Linked DNA regions of Sus scrofa. The protein of the gene in region 1 interacts with the protein of each later gene in a biochemical or structural test. Links are inferred from orthologs where the notes say so. Each region holds a gene or a part of one and is shown on either strand. Other genes may lie near its edges. The genes, in order: GCKR and GCK.

What was found.
Region 2: the proteins of GCKR (region 1) and GCK form a complex in vitro, tested with the Homo sapiens proteins (2 studies listed by BioGRID and IntAct, with this or other methods). The link is inferred for Sus scrofa from reciprocal best matches to the Homo sapiens genes GCKR and GCK.

Annotation. Positions count from the first base shown.
Region 1 is NC_010445.4:111,667,098-111,678,843, reverse strand, and holds the start of GCKR (glucokinase regulatory protein), read left to right. Parts: upstream 1-1,588; 5' UTR 1,589-2,142; coding exon 2,143-2,202; intron 2,203-2,549; coding exon 2,550-2,705; intron 2,706-2,893; coding exon 2,894-2,962; intron 2,963-3,600; coding exon 3,601-3,669; intron 3,670-4,313; coding exon 4,314-4,387; intron 4,388-4,729; coding exon 4,730-4,796; intron 4,797-4,946; coding exon 4,947-5,000; intron 5,001-6,301; coding exon 6,302-6,396; intron 6,397-10,076; coding exon 10,077-10,182; intron 10,183-11,746. UniProt on the Homo sapiens protein: Regulates glucokinase (GCK) by forming an inactive complex with this enzyme. Acts by promoting GCK recruitment to the nucleus, possibly to provide a reserve of GCK that can be quickly released in the cytoplasm after a meal.
Region 2 is NC_010460.4:51,004,440-51,016,130, forward strand, and holds the start of GCK (glucokinase), read left to right. Parts: upstream 1-4,479; 5' UTR 4,480-4,854; coding exon 4,855-5,172; intron 5,173-9,495; coding exon 9,496-9,658; intron 9,659-10,473; coding exon 10,474-10,628; intron 10,629-11,668; coding exon 11,669-11,691. UniProt on the Homo sapiens protein: Catalyzes the phosphorylation of hexose, such as D-glucose, D-fructose and D-mannose, to hexose 6-phosphate (D-glucose 6-phosphate, D-fructose 6-phosphate and D-mannose 6-phosphate, respectively).

The DNA.
Region 1 (11,746 bases):
AGGCAGTGCGGCTGCCTCCGCCGGGCTCCTGCAGCGAGATGTGACCGTCCCGGGAAGCCAGCCGCCGCCTTCTGCAGAGCTGGCCCGGGTCGCTCCGCCGCAGCCCGGCCGGGACTTGCAGACCCGCCCCGCCCCGCTGGGGTTCTCACCGCCGTCATCACCGCCCCCCCAACCCGGTTCTTTCGGGGCTCCTCCCACGACCCTCTCATTGGCCCCCATCCCTTCTGATCCCGGCACCATCCGAGGAGCCCCGGCGGCAGAGGGGGAGGGGGCGTCGGGAGAGGCGCAGGTGCGAGGGTCTCGGGCACCTGGGAGGCCCCTCCCTCCCCAGATGGAATTAGCCAAGTTGGGAAGAGGAATTCCACCCCCGGTGCGGGAGGGGACAGAGTGATGGAGATAATAATTATTTTGACAATCTCCTACTTGTAGACTGCGTCAGCTTTTAAGTGTCTTCCCCATTCATAACCTGATATTGATTCCCTTCATTCTCTCATTCGTTCCTTCATTTATTAGGCAAATATTTATTGAGCGTCTGACATGTTCAAAGTTGCCGATTCAGCTGTCATTAAGTGTGCTGGGTTTATAGGGGAAATTTAAAGAGCAACGACCTGTTTCTTGTTCTAGCTCTGCGACTTACTTTAGTGTGGCCTTGGACAAATAGGTTAATGTAAGTCTTAGGTTTTCCCACTGTAAATCAGAGCGTGCAGATCCTTACAGGGCTGTTGTGAGGATCAGATGAGACAATGTTGGGGAATGGGCTTTATCAATCTTACAACCCTGTGTGGATGAGAGATTGTTATTCATTTTCACCAGTTTGTCAATTACTTCATTCAATAAACATGGAAATCCTTCAGTTATTTCATGCTTTGGCTGAGCATGAGATCTGGAGGGAGAACTTGGGTATAGGTCCCAATTCTGTCAGCTGTGTGATCTTCACCAACTGACCTAACTTCACGGAGCTTCAGTTTCATCATCTGAAAATTGAAGTATAGTTGATTTACGATACCGTATTAGTTTCAGGTGTGCGGCAAAATGATTCCGCTATATCTGTATCTATATGTATGTATTTTTTTTATCTATTATCCGTTATAGGTTATGACAAATAGTGAAAATAGTTCCCTGTGCTGTACAGTAGGTCCTTGTTGTTTGTCTCTTTGACATATAGTGGGGTGTATCTGTTAATCTCAAAATTCTAGTTTATCCCTTCTTCCCCCCTTTTCCCTTTGGTAATCATAAGTTTGTTTTCTATGTCTATTTCTGTTTTGTAAATAAGTTCGTTTGGATCATTTTTTTTTAAGATTCCACCTATAAATGGTATTGTCTGGTATTTGTCTTTGTCTTTGAGTGGCTTCACTTAGTATGAGACTCTCTAGGTCCACCCATGTTGCTGCCAATGGTGTTAATTTCATTCTTTTAAATATCATCTTCTTAGTGTTATTGTATCTAATGAGATACTGTATGTGAGAAGCATTGTTCAGTAAATAAATGTTGGCTAAAGTTGTATTTAGGGCAGATACTTTCTAATTCTCATTGCAGTATAGCTATTTCTGGGGCACTTCAGTGTGTGCCCCCCTGGGGCTCTGAAGCTTCTGTTGCTTTCCTTCTGAGAGGAGAGGGGAATGGGGCAAGTAGGGCAGGAAGGATTGTGTGTGCTGAGCATGTGATCAAGCCATGCTCCAGGTCCTCCGACCTCTGCTGACCCTGAGAACCCTGATCTCTGGCCTCCTGATGCATCCTGGTTCTGGAGCATGCATGCCCAGGGTTCTTTTTGCCCTGGATCTGGGTATTGTCTTTCTAGGCTCCAGGCCTTCCAGAGAAGACGACATGGTCTGTTGGGCAGGAGTAATGAACCTCCAGTCTTCCTCTTCAGGGGCAAAGCAGAGGCTGTCCCCTTTCCGGGTGCCTGCAAAGGGGGACCTCAGGAACTCCTCTGGGGTGGCCAGAGAGCTGGGGGCCTAGTGACCAGGAAAGGGTGAAGGCAGAAGTGCTCAGAGGGGGTGGTGCTCAGAGAGGCCAGGGTACTTGGGTTAATCATCACTGTGGCTCAGATAAGGGCCTGCCAGCTGGAAGCAGAGTCAGTGGGACAGAAGGGGTTTTGTGGCTGGAGAGGCAGGCTCGACGGTGTGTCCACAGCATTGGACCATGCCAGGCACAAAACGCTTTCAACATGTGATTGAGACCCCGGAGCCTGGCAAGTGGGAGGTGAGACCCTTTCTTCCTGTTGGCCTTCTGGGCTGATTCCTAGAATCCTGTCTCATCGGGACTTCCCTCCACCCCAGGTTTCTGCTCCCCCCCTTCTCCTTCCCATCTTCCTTCCTGGTCTTCTTTCTTTTTTCTTTTTATTAAAGTGTGGTTGATTTACACTGATCTTCTTTCCCTAATAGGCCCAGAGTACCAAGTGCAGGCTAAATGCTGTGTGTGTGTGTGTGTGTGTGTGTGTGTGTGTGTAAGTCCTAGCACTGAGCCCACGGCCACTCCCACCTCCAATTCCGCAGGCCTGAATGAGGCTTTGCTCCCTGCCTGTAACCTTGTCCACCCCCTCCCTCTAGTTGTCCGGGTATGAGGCAGCCCTGCCAATCACGGAGAAGTCAAACCCACTGACCCAGGACCTGGACAAAGCAGATGCCAAGGAGATTGTTCGATTGCTGGGGCAGTGTGATGCTGAGATCTTCCAGGAGGAGGGGCAAGTCATGCCCACATACCAGGTGACCCAGCCCCATCCCCTGGACACTGCAAATAAAGATGCCAGCCCCAGCCCCAACCCCACCTCAACCTCTGCCCTCCCCGACCATGGTCCCTAATTTTTTGAAACTGGAGAGTGTCTCCACCTGACCCCTCACCCCTCCACCCACCGGCCTTTCCTTGGCTGCTGATGCCCGCCTGTTGCCTCCAGCGACTCTACAGTGAGTCCACTCTGACCACCATGGTACAAGTGGCTGGAAAAGTTCAGGAAGTGCTGAAGGTACCAACGCTCCATCCATGCCCTGCTTAGATGTGTGTTGCCCATCCTTGTCTCTTTCCTTCCTCTCCCTTTTTCCCCGTTGATAGAGCTTAGTCCTGCTTTCTCCGGGTCTTCCCTCTTGGATCCTTATGAATGTCTTACTAATGGACAGTAATTGTAATCACTCTTACTGCCTATGGCTTTGTAACCCGCCCTGCGCTTTCATCCGCGTTACCATCACAAAAACCTGGGCAGGTGCTCTTATTGTCTCTGCGTTGTTTTTTTTTTTTTCCCCAGATGGGAAAACAGAGACTTAAGATAATCACTGTAGCTTGCTCCAATACATCGCGACTAACAGTTGCACAATTATGCCGAGTCTGTCTCCCTGTCCGTCTGTCTGTCTATTTAAAGATGACAAAGCTGCTTTCAGCTCGTGCTGGAATAAGCAAGGGTTTGAATAAGTAGCTAAGGTGGGGGTGGGGTGGGGGGGTGTCACACCGAAGTTTCTTGAGCGAATCCAAGGGTCTTTCTGCTACACCATCCTCTCTGTTGTGCTTGCTTTTGGGGTAAGAGGACAGTTCTGTTACTGATGAAGAAGAGAATATGTGGCCCTCGAGCTGAGCTGGGTCCTGGAGACCTGGGCATTTTTCTCCTCTCAGGAGCCTGAAGGGGGGCTGGTGGTGCTGAGTGGAGGGGGCACCTCTGGCAGGATGGCATTCCTCATGTCGGTGAGTACTCTGATCCCCGGGTTGGCTCCCTCTGCCTTCTCTGGGTAACCCTCAGGACCCTAAAGCTCATCATAGCTAAGCTCCTAGGTGGACCCTTCTAGCTCTGGCTCTTTCTTCTCTAAAAGCTTCACCTCAGGAGTTCCTGTTGTGGCTCAGTGGTAACGAACCCAGCTAGGATCCATAAGGATGCCGGTTTGATCCCTGGCCTCACTCAGTGGGTTAAGGATCCAGTGTTGCTGTGAGCGGCAGCATCAGTCACAGACGCAGCTCAGATCCTGCGTTGTGTGGCTGTGGTGTAGGCCTGCAGCTGCAGTGCTCATTCAGCCCCTAGCCTGGGAACTTCCATGTGCCGCGGGTGCAGCCCTAGAAAGCAAACAAAGAAATAAAAGCTCAATCTCACCATGGAGTCCCGTTTCTTCTGAGCCCATCTGAGCTCCACCAGTCTATTGCTAGTGCCTCTACATCCCCCCACACCCCATTAATCATCTCTAAGCCGCATCTTTAAGCATCAGATTCCAAGCAGTGTCAGCTTAAGCACTGACCTGGGAGAGTCATTATACAGCCTCTACCGTGTAGGTGTTGAAAATCCAAGATAACTGTTCCTTCCTTGTCATTCCTCCCTGATGTCCTCTCCCCCTTGGCAGGTCTCCTTTAACCAGCTGATGAGAGGTCTAGGACAGAAACCTCTTTACACATACCTCATTGCAGGAGGAGACAGGTAAGCCCAGCTGGCCTGTGCATATTTAGTTTGGCCTGCACCGTACTTGTTAGAAACTAAGTTTGAATGCTTTTACGTGGAGATGGTGACGGGTTCGCTTTGGTCCCTCCACTCCTTATTGCCTCAGACCTGGCCCACTTCTCATACATATGGGCCCCTGACTAACCCCTGTAGCTAGTTAGGTTTTTCCACCCTATAGGGTGTTTGTTGTGGTGCCCAAGAAATAGCAGGTGCTCGTTCAGTGCTAGTTTTCCCTTCATTCCCTTCTCTTAAAGCAGCCCTAATAAACCATAGGCTTCTGCTTCCCAACCAGTGCCACTGACCTTGAGTCTGTCCTCTTAGGTCTGTGGTGGCCTCTAGGGAGGGGACAGAAGATAGTGCCCTGCACGGGATTGAGGAGCTGAAGAAGGTCTGTGTTTTCCACTGGGGTTACATCGATGCCCCAACATCCAGCCAAAGCCTATTCCCTCTCCTGCTCTTGGCCCTGACATCCCCACAAGTAGGTTTGTACCCTAGAATCCTCTTGGTGGCACCCACCTCACCCTTCCTCCTCTCCTAGGTGGCGGCTGGGAAGAAGAGGGTCATCGTCATTGGCATTTCGGTGGGACTCTCTGTGAGTGTGAGACAGGCTGGGTGGCCCAGTCTCCCCGGAGGGAAGGGGGGAGGGTGGAATAGCATGGAAGAGAAATCAACCGCAATCGTCTAGCTGTAGCTAGAAAACAGGGTTTGCGTAAGGAATTTCGATTTTACTCTCACTAACGGGGATCCGGTTGTATGAATGTGGGACAAGGGGGGAAGGGATCCTGTCTCAGAATAACTGTGTGTCAGTCCGCCAGACAACCAGAACAGATGGAGAGGTCCGGGGGTCGGTGACTGACACCGGCGGGTCAATCCAGTGGGTGCCTGTCTTCGTAAATAACGTTTTATTGGAACACGGCCATTTGCGCTTACATGTGGTCCATGACCACTTTCTCAATTCAACAGGAGAGGTGAATAGTTGGACAGAGATCACAGGGCCCACGAAGCCGAAAATATTTGCTTTCTGGCTCTTTACAGCCAAATCTGACCCCAGACCAGTCCTTTGCTGCTTCAAGGGCGGGCCTCACCCCAGCAGCTTCAGCATCACTTGGGATTTGTTAGAAAGGCAGAGTATCGGGCCTCTCCACCCCAGGCCCAGTGAGTCTGAATCTGCATTTTAGCACGTTTCCCAGGTAGTTTATTTGAGAAGCTCTGGACTAGAGGACCCCAAGTTTCCCCTTCACTCTGCAGCCCTGACTCTGGCTCTTAGAAGTCACTGAGCAGTAACTGGACCCCAGCAAGCGCTAGAAGTGGAATGAGGCACTCGAGAGCAGGACTCTGGCCTCATGGAACTTACAGTTTAGTTCAGTATTTTCTTTTCTTTTCCTTTTTATTTTTTTGGCCTTTTTGCCTTTTCTAGGGCCGCTCCTGCGGCATATGGAAGTTCCCAGGCTAGGGGTCCAATCAGAACTGTAGCTGCCAGCCTATGCCAGAGCCACAGCAATGCGGGATCCGAGCCACGTCTGCAACCTATACCACAGCTCATGGCAATGCCAGATCCTTAACCCACTGAGCAAGGCCAGGGATCGAACCTGAAACCTTATGGTTCCTAGTCGGATTTGTTAACCACTGTGCCACGATGGGAACTCCTAGTTCAGTATTTTCAAACGTTACCGTGCAGAAGATTTCCTGGGAGGAGCTGGTTGTAAATGTAGTCCCATGGGCTCAACACTTCCAATTTGGAACTGGTAGCTTTTAACGGGGCCCAGGAACCTGCATTTAAACAAGCATGGGGGCGGGGATTCCGATGCACATGGTCCTCAGGCAGGACTCGAGTACCCCCCCACCCCCGCCCCGTCCCCATCTTCATGCCCTCCTCTCTCTTCTTGCCACCAGGCTCCCTTTGTGGCGGGCCAGATGGACTACTGCATGGATAACCCAGCCGTCTTTTTGCCGGTCCTGGTTGGTTTCAACCCAGTGAGCATGGCCAGGTGAGCCTACTGTAATGAAAGGTGGTAACTGGCCAGACCCCCAGGGGAGGCGGGGAGGCAACCTAGGAAAACCAAGGGGACAGTCACTAAGGAGAGGGCAGGGCCAATCGGGTCTTGTTCACCAAATCTCAGAATATTAAATATGGGGTGTTGCTGAGCTGATGAGGTTTTTTGTTGATTGGTTGGTTGGTTGGGCTGACTTATGCTCTCCTTTCAGAAAGGATTGAGGGCAGCCAACAAAGGGTGTGTACACAAGAAGGCGTATGTTTGAAGCAGGGAGGGAGGCGTTCTCATTGTGGCTCAGTGGATTAAGAACCCGACCTAGCAGTGTCCCTGAGGATGCAGGCTGGATCCCTGGCCGCCCTCTGTGGGTTTAGAATCCAGGATTGCTGCAAGTTGCAGATGCGGCTCAGATCTGGCGTGACTGTGGCTGCGGCCTCATCTGTGGCTTCAATTCCACTCCTAGCCCGGGAACGTCCATATGCTGCAGGTGCAATGGTTTAAAAAAAAAAAAAGAAAGAAAAAAGAAAAGGCAGAGAGTGAATAAAACTAGATTCTGCAAACAAAATCTTTCTTCAAACAAGAATCAACAGCAGTTCCCATAGTGGCATCAGTGGTTAACAAATCTGACTGGGAACCATGAGGTTGCAGGTTCGATGCCTGGCCTTGCTCAGTGGGTTGAGGATCCGGCGTTGCAGTGAGCTGTGGTGTGGGTCGCAGACGTGGCTCAGATCCCGCGTTGTTGTGGCTGTGGCGTAGGCTGGCGGCTACAGTTCTGATTCGACCCTTAGCCTGGGAACCTCCATATGCCACAGGAGTGACCCTAGAAAAGACAAAAAAAAAAAAAAAAAAAAAAGAATCAACAATAGTGAAGACCTGGACCATCCCTGATAATTTTTGCTACAACTCTGACCAAGAACAGACCCAAGAAAGAATAGAAAGAAAAGCTAAAGTTCCCATGTATCTTGGAAAAGATCTGCTTTGGAATCCAGTTGACCCTATGTAGGGATTTTGAGGAGTGTTTGTTATGGAATCGTGTTGCCAGCTGAGGAAAGGTTGGGTTGATTTCTGCCTTAGAAGGATGTTCATGTCGGTTCAGAGGCAGGAGGGGATTCACATTACCTAGAGAAGTTGAGTCCACGCCAGATCCGCTGACTTTCAAAGTATGAGGCGGCTATGCATTGATTTGTTTTTCGGAGCATATTCGCTGTAATGATCTGTCCCTCATTAATTATACATCAAAATCAATTACGGCATAAACTTGTCATGGTTCAATAACTGCTGTTAAAAGTTTTCAGCCTCCTGGGGTTGTGGGATAGAAATCCTATAAAATTGGATTGTGATGATCATTGTACAGCTATAAATGTAATAAATTCACTGAGAAATAAAAAAAGTTTTCAGCCTCTAAAAAATAAAATAAAGCAGGGGGAGAAGACGCAAGGAAAACGAGGGTCAGCGGATGGAATAGAGTCAGGAAAATGCATACCACAAAGATCTGCATTTCCTTTCTTTCTTTCTTTTCTTTTCTTTTTTTTTTCTGCTTTTTGGGGCCGCACCCGTGGCATACGGAGGTTCCCGGGCTCAGGATCAAATCAGAGTTACAGCTGCCGGCCTACACCACAGCCACAGCAACACAGGATCCTTAACCCACTGAGCAAGGCCAGGGATCGAACCTGCAACCTCCTGGTTCCTAGTCAGATGTGTTTCCACTGTGCCACGACGGGAACTCCAAAGATCTGTATTTTCATCTGAGGAGGGTCTCAAGCATTTTTTTCAAAGACGAGTAGCTGCTGAGTTTTGACTGGCTTCCTAGTCTCCTTTGCTGCCTTAAATTAGAGCCCTTTGTCCTTCATTCCAGAAGCTTCTTTGGTCCCCTCTGGCTACTCACATTCCCCCACCCTGTTCCCCTTTCCTGAGATCCCTGTGCCTCTAGTCACCTCCCTCTTACTCTCTGTCTAAATGGCCACTTTGATCTCAAAGAAGGCCAGTGTCGCAAACCAGTAATGCTCAGGCATGATCCTGTGGATGCCCTGCCTTGAGACTGTTAGGAAAAAGGAGAGAAATTCTTATGTGGGAGGTCTGATGTGGTAGGTTCGGGGTAAGGCCCTGATATATCTAATTTTTGGAAGCATCGCTAGAGATTCTGCTGCACAGCCAGGCTGGGAAAGCTCTGCTAAATAAACCATTGGAGTGGGCTGCCCCGTGAAGCTGAGGGCTTCCCGTCCCTGGAGGTATTCCCGCCGAAGCTTGGTGATTACTCGAGAGCAGCTTGGTGTATTTAGTGGTGGTCTCTGGGAGAGGGACAGCTGAGTTCTCTCTGAGCTCCTTTTTAAACTCCCAGATTCCAGGCCGTGTAGTGTAATTCACACGAAGGTGTAAAAGAGCCTGATCTCTTTTAATGGAGGACTTTCCTTCACCACAAATATATCTGCTGCAGTGGATGCTAATTTCAGGCACTATGACTAAGTGAAATGAAGGATTTCAAACAATGCAGGCGTGGAGATCTTCCAGTTGTTCCTTAAATCAGTAGCTCCCCAACTTGGCTGATCTTCAGAATTGTCTGGGAAGCTTTTTAAAAATATAGATCTGGGGAGCTCCGTGCCAGAACTATTGAAATGCCCTCTCAGGGTGGGCATGGAACCCAGACATGGGTCGTTATTAAAAAACCAAACCTCTGTAGGTAGTTTTGATAACCAGCCAAGTCTGGGAGTCTCAGTTTTCAACCGCACAGTGAACACTGACTCCGCTCTCTGCTGAGGCTTCTTTTCTGTCTTAGGTCTCTAGGAAGTGTCAGAAGTAGTTTGAGGACAAATGATAGGAAACACTTTACCCAATGGGTGTGTTACATGTGCCATGTATTCACTGCAGAAATCCGAGGGATGGGAAAAAAAATAAAAATAGTTCAAGAAGGGATGGAACCTTTGTAGGAATGCAATGATAACAGCAAGCGTGGGAGGCCATAGACAGAAGGAACTCTTTGAGGTCCTGCCGTGATGCGTGATTCACCAGTGATCCCCTTTCAAAGCCAGGAGAGCCAACTGCAGAAGCTCCCCGCTCTTTGAGATCTCTGGGTTGCGCCTGAGCTGAGGGCAAGCCTGTTGCCCTCCTCATCGGCACCTTGTTTTGTTCCTGATCGATTTCTTCAAGGGATGTCTCCTTACTGTTCGTTGCTTCACTTCCTATCTTGCAGCTTGGTTCTTTTAGTGGCAACTGTTACCTCTTCCCTCGGGTAGCAAGGGGTTCACAGTTTGGACAGATTCTAGAATATGTTTCTTGGAACGGGAAAGGCTTCCGATGGACCCTAAGACGGAAAATATGATGGAGATTTTGAGATATTCGGATGATAGGCATTTTCCCAGGGGCTTGCAGAGGGTGCAGCTCGTGTGGTCATGGCCATAGGACCTGCGCGAGGACCAGGACACAGAGTTCTGGGCTCAGGCTGGAACATCACACTCGAGTGTTGGTGCTCTGGGCTTAAACTGCTGGATGTTTTTTTAAGCCTCATCCATGTGGTTCAGGGACACAGCGGCTGCTATGAGCATCAGAGCACATCTCTCTAGGAAGTGGTTGACCTCTGACCCCTACCCCAGGGTGGTCTTTGATCCCAGCTCCCATCCAGGGCCCTTCCTTTAGATCCTCACAGATGATAATTCCCCCCTCTGTCTCTCTGTGGGCCCCAGAAATGACCCCATTGAAGACTGGAGTTCAACGTTCCGGCAAATAGCAGAGCGGATGCAGAAACTGCAAGAGAAACAGGAAGCTTTTGTGCTCAATCCTGCAATTGGGGTGAGACCTGCCCCCTCCCCTCCCCCTTGTCCCTACTTAGGGCCTCCGATTTTAGGTTCTGTTACATCTTGTCTAAATTCCTGGTGTTGTGCGTCTACTAAAATGTTGTAAATCGAACCCTATTTTCTCATTTTGTTTTTCCCCTTAAGATGTTTTATTTCCATTCTGACCTTGTCTCTTGAGTCAGTCATCATTAAACACTTAAATGGTCCAGGGCAGTTTCTGTTTAAAGAAGCTCTTTTGAATCTGTGTGTAGGAAGTATTGAATAAGATAGTGAATTTCTTTTTGTGTCTTTTATACATTTAAATTTCAAATATGGGCTTTTAAGAAAACGTGATGCAGTTGCATTCCTCTGCCTTTCTAAAACTCTCCAAAATTGATGTGGGCCTTCTGAGCCTTCAGTGCGCCTGTTCTTTTTTCCTCTGGATGGTGGCTGCATCTCACTAGCATTGTCTGCCCTTCCTTTGACCTTACAAGGGCCTTAGCCGGATCCCTGCCCCTGCCCCTGCAGCCAGGGATGGGCACATCTGTGCCATTCTCCTTTTTTTTGGCTTTTTAGGGCTGCACTCATGGCATATAGAAGTTCTCAGGCTAGGGGTCAAGTTGGAGCTGCAGCTGCCAGCCTACAGCCACAGCAATGCGAGATCTGAGCCCTGTCTGTGACCTACGTCACAGCTCACAGCAACACCGGATCCTTAACCCACTGAGCGAGGCCAGGGATCATATTTGCATCATCATGGGTACTAGTTGGGTTCGTTACTACTGAGTCACAACAGGAGCTCCTGTGCCATTCTCCTTGATCTTCTTTTTTTTTTTTTTGTCTTTTCTGTTGCTATTTCTTGGGCCGCTCCCACGGCATATGGAGGTTCCCAGGCTAGGGGTCGAATCGGAGCTGTAGCCACCAGCCTACACCAGAGCCACAGCAACGCAGGATCCGAGCCATGTCTGCAACCTACACCACAGCTCACGGCAACGCCGGATCGTTAACCCACTGAGCAAGAGCAGGGACCCAACCCACAACCTCATGGTTCCTAGTCGGATTCGTTAACCACTGCGCCACGACGGGAACTCCTTTGATCTTCCTTTTGTGAGATAGGAAGGCAGGGATTCCATGTGACACACAAGCTCTGTATCTTTCATCTTCCAGATGCTCATCTTTTCCTTTCTGTAGTTACTTACTTTTTTGTTGTTGTTGTTTTGTTTTTTAGGGCCACACCCATGGCATATGGAGGTTCCCAGGCTAGACGTCGAATTGGAGCTACAGCTGCCGGCCTACACCACAGACACAGCAACACGGGATCCAAGTGGCTTCTACAACCTACACCACAGTTCACAGCAACGCCAGATCCTTAACCCACTGAGGGAGGCCGGGGATCAAACCCTCAACCTCATGGTTCCTAGTTGGATTCATTTTCACTGCATCACAATAGGAACTCCTGCAGTTACTTATTTTTAATCTTCTTTTCTCAGACACTGCTTTTATCATTCTTTTTGCTGTAGTCTCTTTATCTGTTTGGTGTGTCATGGTGCATATCTGTACAATCACAATCAGAGGTTGCTTCA
Region 2 (11,691 bases), on another chromosome or scaffold:
AGTTCTGTTCATTTTATTTGGTTCTTTTTCCTTTCTGCTAGGCAGATTGAGTAGGTTCAACTCCCTATCTTCACCTTCATTGATTCTTTCTTCTGCCTGTTCAAATCTATGGTTGAAGCCCTCCAGCAGTTTTTTTTTTCTTCCCATTTTAGCTATTGTGCTTTTCAGCTCCAAAGTTTCTATTTGACTTCTTTCTATAATTTGTGCCCAGTGCTCACTTACAAGCCATCAGTGGCCTCTCCCTTCATCAGGTACTCCTCTGGTTGCTACAGGTGTCCAATCAGGCTTATTTTGATTTTTTTTCCTGGGGTATTGGTTGTTTTTGTGGAGGGACTCACCCCTGGAGCTTCCTACTCCACCATTTTCTGTGATGTCATCCTCTTTTCAGACAATAAGCTTCATTGATTTACAGAGGGCGTGGCATCAAAGAGGCTGTGCCACCTGTCTGCTTCTTAGAAAACTCTGAAATTATCAGCAGGCATGAGGGTGGGAGTTTGGCTTTAGATCTGCCATAGATCTAGGACTTTGGACAGCCTGTGTTCTGAACTCTGACCCAGAGGCTAAGGATCCTTTGGTAGTGAAAATAGCTACATATTATTGAACAACTTGTATTGCCAAGAGTCTTACCTGCATTTTCCCTTCAAAGCCCCTCAATGGCCCTGTGAGGTAGGTAAGGTGTTACCTCCACTTTACTGATGAGGAAGTTGAGGCCTATACCATTTAGGGACTTATCCAAGTCCTACAGCCAGTGAATGGAAGAGACTTCACACTCAGGCAGGTGACCTCATGCTCCTGTGTGACTACAACGTTATCCTGCCTCCCTGGAAGATCCCCAAGCCTGCCTTCCTCTCCCCAGTCACACTGCTCCTCACCCACACTCTGCCTCTCTCCCTCCCATGACCCCAGCCTTTAGGCGTCACCTCTGACACCTGACCCCAGGCCTCCAGCCCACCCCTGCTCTCAGAGGCAAATGCCAGGCAATGCAAAGGGTGGCAGCTCCTGCTGCTCCCACCCCCACCAGCCGAAGCTGAGGTCTCTGAAAATCTCCAGCCCAGAAGCCGCTCTAGAGGCTATTTCCTGACCCCCAGCATGTGCTCGGCCCTGAAGGAACCTCCCCATCTAGTCAGGAAGACTAAACTGTCAGCACACCTGGAGGCAGGCTGACCTAGGGGTGAGTCCTGGCTAAGTTGCTTACGGCCCTGGGATCTTACTCCCACAGGCTTTAGTTTCCCCACATTTAAAATGACTACCTCAAGCTTGCAGGCCAGTTGTGATCCACATGCAGCTCGTAGTATAGCAGCTGGCATGTGACGCCCCTGGGCCCCCACCAGCTGTGGTCATCGTGACCCCAGCCCACTCTGCTGTCTCTCGGCCCCTCTCCCCCTTGCTTCTGTCCCTGATGCCCTGTTACCCCAGGCCCCTGGCCTGCCCTTCCACAAGGGCACCGCCAATCCCCGTCTGCCTTTGCTCTAAGCAAACACTTGCAACACTGTGCTGACCTCCTGGCCCCATTGCATCAGCTCAGGGAGTGCCCACACGGTTGCCCAGCTGGTTAGGCCACAGGAGAGGGGCTGGCATGCTGGCGGCTCTGGTTCCCAGCCCCACTTTCTTTCCCACTGTGATATGGGGACTGGAAATTTGACCCATTTAACTATGAGCCTCCATTTTCCAGAGTCTGGGCCTTAGAGCCTCAGTGCAAAATTAGCAGGTAAGGCCCAACTGTTTTGTTTTTTTAACTTCTTTTTAAAATACTGCTTTATGGAGTTCCCATCATGGCTCAGTGGAAACAAATCCAACTAGGAACCATGACGATGCGGGTTCGATCCCTGGCCTCGCTCAGTGGGTTAAGGATCCCATGTTGCCGTGAGCTGTGGTGTAGTTTGCAGATGTGGCTCGGATCCCACGTTGCTGTGGCTGTGGCATAAGCCAGCAGCAACAGCTCTGATTCGACCCCTAGCCTGGGAACCTCCATATGCCGCAGGTGCTGCCCTAAAAAGACCAAAGACTAAATAAATTAATTAATTAATTAAATAAAGTGCTACTTCATTAATGCACATTGCAGAAAAATGTAGGACTTACAGGTAAACAAGAAGGAAAATGAAGTCACTCATATTGTCACCAAGATAACTGCTATTGCCATTTTGCTCTATTTCCCCCATGTGTTTATTATGTATAATATATATATGCAGACAAAAATTGATTGTGCTATATTTTATAACTATTTTTCCTCAGTATTTATCATCCATTGCTACATAAAAACATTACATCAAGATTTTGTGGCTTGAAACAACAAACCTTTATCATCTCCCGTTATTTCTGTGGGTCAGGGACCCGGCCGTGGCTGGGCTGGGGGTGGGGGGCAGTGCTGGCTCGGTGTCTCTCCTGAGGTTGTAGTCAAGATGTTGGCTGGAGCTGCATTATCTGAAGGCTCGACTGGGGCCGCTGGATCTGCTCGCAAAGAGGCCTGCTCACCTGCCTGGCACGTGGGAGCTGCCCATTAGCAGGAGGCCTCAGTTTTTCTCAGCGGACTCCCCCCCGCTTAGAACCTGAGGGTCCTCATGGCCTGGCGCTGGCTTCCCCCCAGATGAAGAATCCAATAGGAAGGAAAGTGGAAACGTCCACGCCTTGGATGGCCTCCCTCAAAGTCCCACTCCGTCTCTTCTGCAATAGCCTGTCCGTCACACAGGCTAGGCCTGGTCGGCATGCGAGGGGCCTGCACGGGGTGAATGAAGGCCAGGCGTGGGGCTCACTGGAGGCCCTCTTAGGGTACAGTCACCACGTTTTCATTCAACAGTGTCATGAACATCTTTCCATGCCAGTGGAAGCAGATCAATCTTATCATTTTAAACGACGGACTATACATGTACCATAATTTACTTAACCAGTTTCCTAAAGTGACACGTGTGGATTATGTCCTACTTTTTGATCTTGGAAAGAGTAACCTAGAACATTCATCACCGAACTTGTCAGATTACTTCCTAGGGATAAATTGAAAAGAAAATTAAATCATGCCTGTCAGTCAGCTCCTTGAGCAACCAAGGGATGAAGATACCAACTGGACACAGAGCAAGGTCCCTCTGATCCTGCTTCAAATGCCCCACGCCTCTCTCCACATTCAATGGGGAGCTCACCATCTGCAGAGACATCCTAGCCCATTGCAGGACAGCTCTGTTTTGAGAAAGGCTAAGCAGAAGCTGCATTCATCCGTCCTCGGGATATTGTCCTGGAGACCTTGAAGACTCCGAGAAAGTCCCGGCCATCCCTCGGAAGCCATTGTCTCTGAGGCCCTCCCTTTCCTGCCCTCTTCCCTGGGGATATAGGGCTCCTCGCCTCCAGCCCAGTGCTGACCCTCTAGTGTCACTCCCTCCCCCAGAGAGGAGGCGGTGAGACAGGGCACACCTCCTGTGAGGTGAGCAGAGGAGAACTAGCATGAGGCATGCTGGCTCTGGAGGATTGATTCCAGAAGTGGGGGTGTTGGACTTCTTCCTGCCCTCGCAGGTGCTGGGGAAGGCAAGGAGGTGGCCCCACGGAAGGGCTCTGGGGAAGGATGCTTGCTGGTCAACGTGCAAGCTAAAGAAGGCACAGGAAATCCAGCAGACCAGAAAGGGGCCCTTCGGATCTCCACCCCAGCCCTTGTCCACTCCCACTTCCCAGAGGACAGAGCTGCAAGATTCTGATCCTCTTGCCAGGTGCTATGTGCCTAGACCTGGAGGAGGACAGTTGCATCTTGGCCCGGCTGGTCCAGAAGGTACCCCGCTCCAAACCCAAGTGCCAGCCCTCCGCACCTCCCACCCCCATGCAAACAGTGGCTCAGAGCCAGGGGCTGGTGGGACGGTGACCTGTCACATGCAGGTCCGGTGGAGCCCTTTTTGCTCTATTTTGGGAAAGGGATCAATCGTGTCAAGGGCTTCCTCAGGGATGACCGCACCGGCCACTGGCGGGAGAGCCTGGCATTCTGTCAAGCGGCCGTTCCCCGCCCCGGCCCTCTTGCGAGCTCCTGCTAATTTTAGCAGGGCTTGGCAGATGCTGGCCTCTCCGGACAGGACAAGTTCACTCCCAGGCGGGGAGCTGGGAGGGGGAAGGGAATGGTTCTTGAAATGAGCTCCGGCCTGGACTTTGCAGGCTCCAAACCCAAGAATGACCTTCCCCAGCTTTTGAGGCAGGTTTTGACAATTTACAGTTGAAGACCTCTGATGAAAACAAGCATTTTTTATTTAGGGGGCAGCCCTGGGGTGGGGGTGGGGTGGGGGAAGCCGTCCAGATGGTGCCCCGCCTCTGCCTGCTTCCCACCTCCTCCCCCACCAGCCCGACTCCCCCTCCTCCCCACCCCTCCTCCCCCACCCCCTGCCCCGCCCCCGCCTCTGCCCCTGGCCTGGGCCTGGCCCTCATTGACCCAAATGAGTTCTACGCATCCCCAAGCCCTCCCAACCAACCTGGCAGCCTGACTGGCCAAATGTGGAGGCTTCTCTCCTAAGAGAGAAGGGGAGAGTCCTGGGAGTCTCGCGCATCTCAGCCTCTGCACCCCTGCTTCCTGAGGGATCTACCTTGCTCAGGGCCCCTGCCACCAGCCTGCCTCTCCTGGGCCCAAGTACAGCACAGGCTCTCTGGGTGAAAATCAGCCAGGGATCCCCCAAGGCCAAGCCTAGAATCTTCATCCTGCACGGGGCCAGCTCCTCAGCAGTCCCCTGCCAGGCCCTTTGGGGTGCTTTCCTGGCCTGGGCAGCATGGCGACGGCCAACCCTGGCCTGTCCAAGGGCTGGAAGTATATAGACTGGTTCTGACCCCTCCCAGAACCTCTGGGCAGCAAATCCCCATCCTAATGGGCTGAGGTCGCCACCCCACAGCCCTGTCTCCATGTTGTCTGTCACCACCCCTACCCCATGCCGGCCTCCTGCCCTTCCGGCTCTGCCTGACCCTGTGCCAGTGGGCAGAGTATTTCAACAGCCGCCTGCTGAATGCTCTCAGTGCCAAAGCCCTGGGCAGCCCGCGTGGGTGACTCTCTGGGTAGGTGGCCCGCACCTGCACAGGTGGGCCTCAGACTCCCGGGCTGCAGCCCAGCCCTGCGCCTCTGCAGACAGGAGTGTCTCCACCTCCCCAGAACCAACCTCTTGGCCCCTCAGAGAGATGGCAACGGAGGCCACAAGGAACTGGGCCTGGACAGCCTTGAATCTGGTAAGGGTCACCCCAAGGCCAGGGCTAGTCGTCCCCAGGGCCGGGGCCGAGGCAGGTTCTTCCTGCGCCAGCAGCATGACTGGTTTGGTGGAGTGGAGGTTGGGGTGGCGCTGGGCCCTCCGGAAGGAGGCACCCTGGCTATGAGGCAGTTGGCCCCTGCTGACACCCACTGTCCAACCTCTTCAGGGAGGGTCTTCAGGGACAGCATCTTCGAGGGGACATGCTCTTGGGGCTGCCAGTGCCAGGCTGTCCCCTGAGCTCCAGCCTCCTGCACATAGCCAACCACCACTTGGCACCTGTCTCCCCGTGGCTACCGGGCCGACATGCCGAGACCCAGCCGATTTCCGCACGGCCACCCACCCCTTCTCCGTGCGTGGAAGCTCTCTTCCCAGCGCTCAGCCATCCCTATGCCATGGTCCTGAAGGCCACGGGGCGGTCAAGGCCACGGGCTGTACAGATTGGAAGAAAAGCGGGAGGGGCCGAGCTGGGGGGGCGAGGATGACAGGGACTGGGTCTGTGGGGCTCCACGCAGACAGCTGTCTCCTTTCTGCCACACTCACGCTTTGGGCTCAGGAGAGAAGGCAGGCTCCATTCTACAGATGAGGAGACGGAGGGGAAGGCCTGGAGGTGCTTCCCACCCCTGCCTCACAGAGGCCCTGGGAACATCCCCGGTTCTCCTTTAAGCCTAATCCCCTGGGGATACAGGCATTTTTATTATCGCCACTCCCTACAGGCAAGGAAACTGAGCACAGAGGCACGCCCTCCCGGGCCACAGAGCCAGAGGCTCAGTTCTGGCTTTGAACCCAGGTTCCGGCTCCTAGCCCACCACCCCTCCCCATCCGCCGGGCTACCAAGCCCCTCCCAGAGTCCAGCCCTGCGAGGCTGCAAAAGCCTCAGCTGGCTTAAAGTTCTCCTCGAGCAGCCTGGGGCATGCTGCACAGACGGAGCTTGTCCCCTGCCCCCTGCCCCACAGCCCCTGCCTGCTGGCCAGGAGGTCTCAGGAACACACTGTCAAGCTCACAGCCATGCCCAAACATGGGAGGGCCTCCTGCCCGAGCAATTCTTCCACACTCCAGCCAGGGCCACTGCCATCTGACAGTGCCATGGCCCCCTGGGACCCCGGCTTCTGGTGCCCTGGCCTGGGACTTGGCAGGAGGAGAACAGGATGGCCCCGGGGCTCTCAGGGGCTCTCCTATCCTGGTTGTCCTGGGATCCTCCAGGCAGGCCTGGCGTTGGCAGGTTGGGGATCCTCTTCCCCAGGAGTATGTGCCAACAGGCCCAGGGTCACCCACTGTGTGTACATAGCCACCCAGCTGCAGGGTGGCTCACGACAGGGCTCACCCTGCCCCCTAGGGCCCAGGGATGGGCTTTGGAGCCCTTGGGGCCTCCAGCGTTTGCAGAGGCCCCATTCCCTGGCCCTTTGACTTCAGCCCCACCCACACCCACCTGGGTACATGCCCGCACGTTGGAGCCCCTTCCTCTTAAAGTTGCAGGCTCCATGTGTGCAGCATCTGCAGGCCCCACCAACACACCTGAGGGAGGGGCTTGTACCACCTTGGAGGACGCTTCACCCAGCCAGAGGGGAGATCTGCTGGAAGCCTGTGCCAACTCGTGGCCACCTGGAGTGTTGGGCTGTGGCCATGGAACTTTCCAGCACCCTTCTCAACCTGTGCCACAGGGGCCTGGGGTGAAGCCATGGGAACATGGCCCCTCATGAGTCCAGGCTCACAGCCTCGGGGTGGGCTGCAGTGACAGAAGGAGAGCAGACGACCCCAGCAGGGCCTGAGGGCTGGGGCTTTGCAGGATGAGCATCACTTTTGTTCAGAGCCCACGAGGTCCACAGTTCTGTTTTGAGAGCAATGCCAGGCAGCCTCTTTTTTTTTTTTTTTTTTTTCTTTTTAGGCCCTGGGGCTCTCAGCATATGCAAGTTCCCAGGTTAGGGGTTAAATCGGAGCTGCAGCTGCCGGCCTTCACCACAGCCACAGCCATGCAGGATCCGAGCCACATCTGCAACCTACACCACAGCTCATGGCAACACTGGATCCTTAATCTACTGAGCAAGGCCAGGGGTCAAACTCGCATCCTCATGGATAATAGTCAGGTTCCTAACCCACTGAGCCATAACAGGAACTCCTCAGGCAGCCTTTTCTGACAGCAGCCCTTGTGCATGAGGCTCTGGATCCTGGTTTCCCATGGTGCACTGGCTGCATGTGCCTGCATCTCAACAACCAGGCATGTTGGAAGAAATCGGCAAATTAGTTAATGTTACTATTTATTCCTGACATTTTAAAAGAGAAAGATGGTCTGAAAAAAGGACAGACAGAACTTCTTTGCAGAACAGATACTGACTCACAGACTTTGAAAAACTTATGGTCTCCGGAGGAGACAGTTGGGGGGGGTGAGGGGATGTGCTTGGGCTGTGGGATGGAAATCCTGTGAAATCAGATTGTTATGATCATTATACAATAAAGATGTGATCAATTCATTTGAGTAATAAGAAAAATTAAAAATAAATAAATAAATAAATAAATTTTTTAAAAAAAGAGAAAGACGGGGCAGGCAGAGCTGAAGGCGTGGGCCTCTGAGGCCAGCCTGCAGCCTGGATCATTTCACAGGGCATGAGGGCCTCTCCAGGGCTGCACCTTGCAAGGCCAGCCTTGGGGTGGGCTACACCTCCACCCCATGCCAGGGCTGCAGAGTGGCTTAGCAAACACTGGTGTTTGATTGGGTGTTTTGTCATAGGCTTTGTCAGCCTCATCCCTTTGTGACCTTCCCTGGGTTTAAATTTTAAGTGTGGGGGTCTCAATAAAAGAATTGGTTCCTGGAGTTCCCGTGGTGGCTCAGACAGTTAAGAACCCGACTAGCATTCGTGAGGACACAGGTTCGATCCCTGGCCTCGCTCAGTGGGTTAAGGATCTAGCATTGCTGTGAGCTGTTGTGTAGGTTGCAGACATGGCTTGGATCCTGTGTGGCTGCAGCTGCAGCTCTAAATCGACCCTTAACCCGGGAACTTCCATATGCTGCAGCCACAGGTGCAGCCCTAAGAAGAAGAAGAAGAAGAAGAAGAAGAAAAGAGTTCGTTCTAAGTAAGGATCTGTATCCATTAGGAATGCTTTGGGCTGCAGGAAGCTAAACACCCAACTAGCTGGTCTTCAGTGATCAGCGTTTGCTCCCCAAACCAACATTTAGAAGTGGGTGGATCCAGGGTTGGCTCAGCACATCAATCAAGGGTGGGCTCACTCTGTTTCTCTCCTCCACCATCTATAATGTGCTGACAGCTTTTTCCCCTCAGCCTCATGGCTCAGGATGGCTGCTGCAGTGCCAGTCATCACACCCTTACAGAGCTGTGTTCACAAAGTGAGAGGGGCATTGACCTTCCCAGAAGGCCCTTCTTCTTCTAAAATCAGGCTTCCCTTCATCTGATTGGCCAGATGCCCAACTGGCCACATGCCCAACTCTAAACCAAATCACTAGCAGAAGAGGATAGGATAGCAGTGCTTGGCTTAGCCCAATCACAGGCTGTCTCCTGGGCCTGGGGAGGGGCTGCCTTCCTTTAATGTGATGGTCCCCCCACCCCCAACAACATGTGGACTCCCAAAACTGAGGAAGAAGGGGCAAATATCTCTGTTGCCTCCTGATTCGAATTCAGGGCATTTCCACCCCCAAGCTTGCATGGAAGACTGCAGGCAAGAGAGTGAGTTTTTGAGAAGAGCGGGTCTATGGCTTTTATCCAAGTATCTTCCCTTTCCTTTTTGGTCCAAATATCCAGTGAATTGTCGGAGTTCCATTGCGGTTCAGTGGCAGTGAATCTGACTGGTAGCCATGACGATGCAAGTTTGATCCCTGGCCTCATTCAGTGGGTTAAGGATCTGGCGTTGCCATGAGCTGTGGTGTAGGTCTCAGAAGAGGCTCGGATCCCGAGTTGCTGTGGCTGGGGTGTCGGCCAGCTGCCATAGCTCCAATTCCATCCCTAGCCTGGGAAACTCCATATGCCTCGGGTGTGGCCCTAAAATGATAGATAGATAGATAGATAGAAAGAAGGATAGATAAATGAATAAATGGAGGCGCCACATCTGCCCTTTGCCCCTCACCCTCCCACCTGCTGCATTTTTTGAGAAGCTGGTGTGGCACTCTGCTGTCCTCGATATTCAACTGGTTTTAATTGTGGTAGTTTGAAATGATGGGTCATCCTGGACCCAGGGTCAGGGGGCAAAAGGAGACCCCTCGGTGCATTTGAGGAAATACCCACTCCTCAGTCCCCCCTCCCCAGCGCTGCACGGCCCTTCCCCCACCCAACTGCTCCCCACCCCCCTCCCTGTGCAGGCGGAGCAGATCCTGGCGGAGTTCCAGCTGCAGGAGGAGGACCTGAAAAAGGTGATGAGGCGGATGCAGAAGGAGATGGACCGAGGCCTGAGGCTGGAGACCCACGAAGAGGCCAGTGTGAAGATGCTGCCCACCTACGTACGCTCCACCCCAGAAGGCTCAGGTACCGGGGTCCAGGGCAGGGGTGGGCCCCATGTGGGAACCAGCAGCTCCTCACCCAGAGGCAGCTGTCCTCAGGCCCCAGTGGGGAGAAGGCCCTCAGGCCCTTCCTAAGGGCTCTGACTGTCCGGTCCCCAGTATGCTGGGCTCCAGACCCTGGGCAGTTCCCAGCCTCTGCTCCACTGGCCCAGCCCTGGGGCTTTCAGACTCATCCTGGCTTCAGGAAAACTGGGTTTTTGTCTTTTGGTTTTTTTGTTTTTTTTAATATTTCACAATGAGAGGAGTTCCCGTCATGGTTCAGTGGTTAATGAACCCAACTGACATCTTTGAGGACACGGGTTCAATCCTTGGCCTCACCCAGTGGGTTAAGGATCTGGTGTTACCCTGAGCTGTAGTGTAGGTTGCAGACACGGCTCAGATCCCAAGTGGCTTTGGCTCTGGCGTAGACCGGGGGCTATAGCTCCGATTCGACCCCTAGTCTGGGAACCTCCACATGCTGCGGGTACAGCCCTAGAAAGACACACACACACACAAATTTCACAATGAGAAACTGGTTTCTCATGGTCCTTAGGGGGACTCCCAGCCCAGTCTTGAGTCTGGGCCATTTCACTAGGTCTTCAAGTGGGCCCTGGGCTCAGGGTGACTTCAGTCCAAGGCAAGTGAGTCCCACTGACTTCTCCAGTTCACCTCTGACCCTTTGCCCAGTTTACCCTGGGGTTTCCCCCACCCCATGTCCAGCTCTGCTGGTCTCCCAGTCTTGGGGTCCTGCTGGGCAACACCCCTGAGACTGATGTGCTCCCCCCCTCCCCGTGACTTCAGAGGTTGGGGACTTCCTCTCCCTGGACCTGGGCGGCACCAACTTCAGGGTGATGCTGGTGAAGGTGGGGGAAGGCGAGGAGGGGCAGTGGAGTGTGAAGACCAAGCACCAGATGTACTCCATCCCCGAGGACGCCATGACCGGCACTGCTGAGATGGTGAGCAGCTCGGGCTGGGGGCTGGGAGGCTGGGAGCCGGGAGGCCGCACCGCCCAGGATCTCAGAGCTTGCTAGTCCTGGAGGGAGGGCCCACTGGTGCATCGGGGCTGGGGGAGCGGTGGTCCCTGCTTCAGGAGGAAGAGGCAACCGAGAGGCCTAGGTGGCCGGCCCCCGGCCTGGCTCCAGCAGGTCGCAGCCCTGCCCAGTTTCCCAGAAGAATCAGAAACGTGGCAAGGCAGCTGAGAGAACACGCTGGTCCAACAGGGACACAGCTGACCGCCTCCCCCGGTGGCACCCCTCCCCACCTCAGCATGGACGCCAGGGGCATGACTGCAATTGCAGCATCTGCCCAGGCAGCGAGACCACCCTGACCCTGGGAGGGCTCAAGAAGGAGCACAGGAGTAGAATGAGCCCTGTGGGGAGTGGGGGCCGGGGAGCTGGAGCCAGAGGGGCAGGGTTTCAAGCTAGGAGGCCTGTGGCAGCCTGGTCCTCGCCACACCCGCGCCTACTGAGGAACCGGGTAGGAATCAAGGCAGCAGGGATGGTGTGGGGGCCTCTCCGGGCCCTGGCACCCATCAGGGAGCTTAGTCAATCAGCAGAGTACTCAGTAATGCCCAGTTCTGGGGACAGGCCTGCATGAGCGGGATGGCCACTGGTTCTCCCAAGAGCCAGGGATGGGGCAGCCAGGACCCTAGGAGGCAGCAAAGAGGACTCTGGGAGCTGGAATCAGAAATCATCGCCATAGCCAAGGAAGCATCTCTGTCCAAAGCCTCAAGCTGGATGTCCCTGGGTCCAGCTGGGAAGGCCAGGCTGACAGGGCACAGCTGGGCTGGGAAGTCCTGGTGTGGCCCTGTCCCCAGGGCTGCCATCAGCAGGACTCTGGCATCTGGGGAGGTCAGGGCCCGAGCCCCGAGAAGCCAGTGGTGCTCCTGGGGGACAGAGGGCAGGCCGGAGGCCATGCTTTCCTGAGGCCTGTGGCTCAGCAAGGGCACACGGCTCGCCCGCCACAGCTGACGGCCCCTTCGGCCCGCATCTTCCAGCTCTTTGACTACATCTCCGAGTG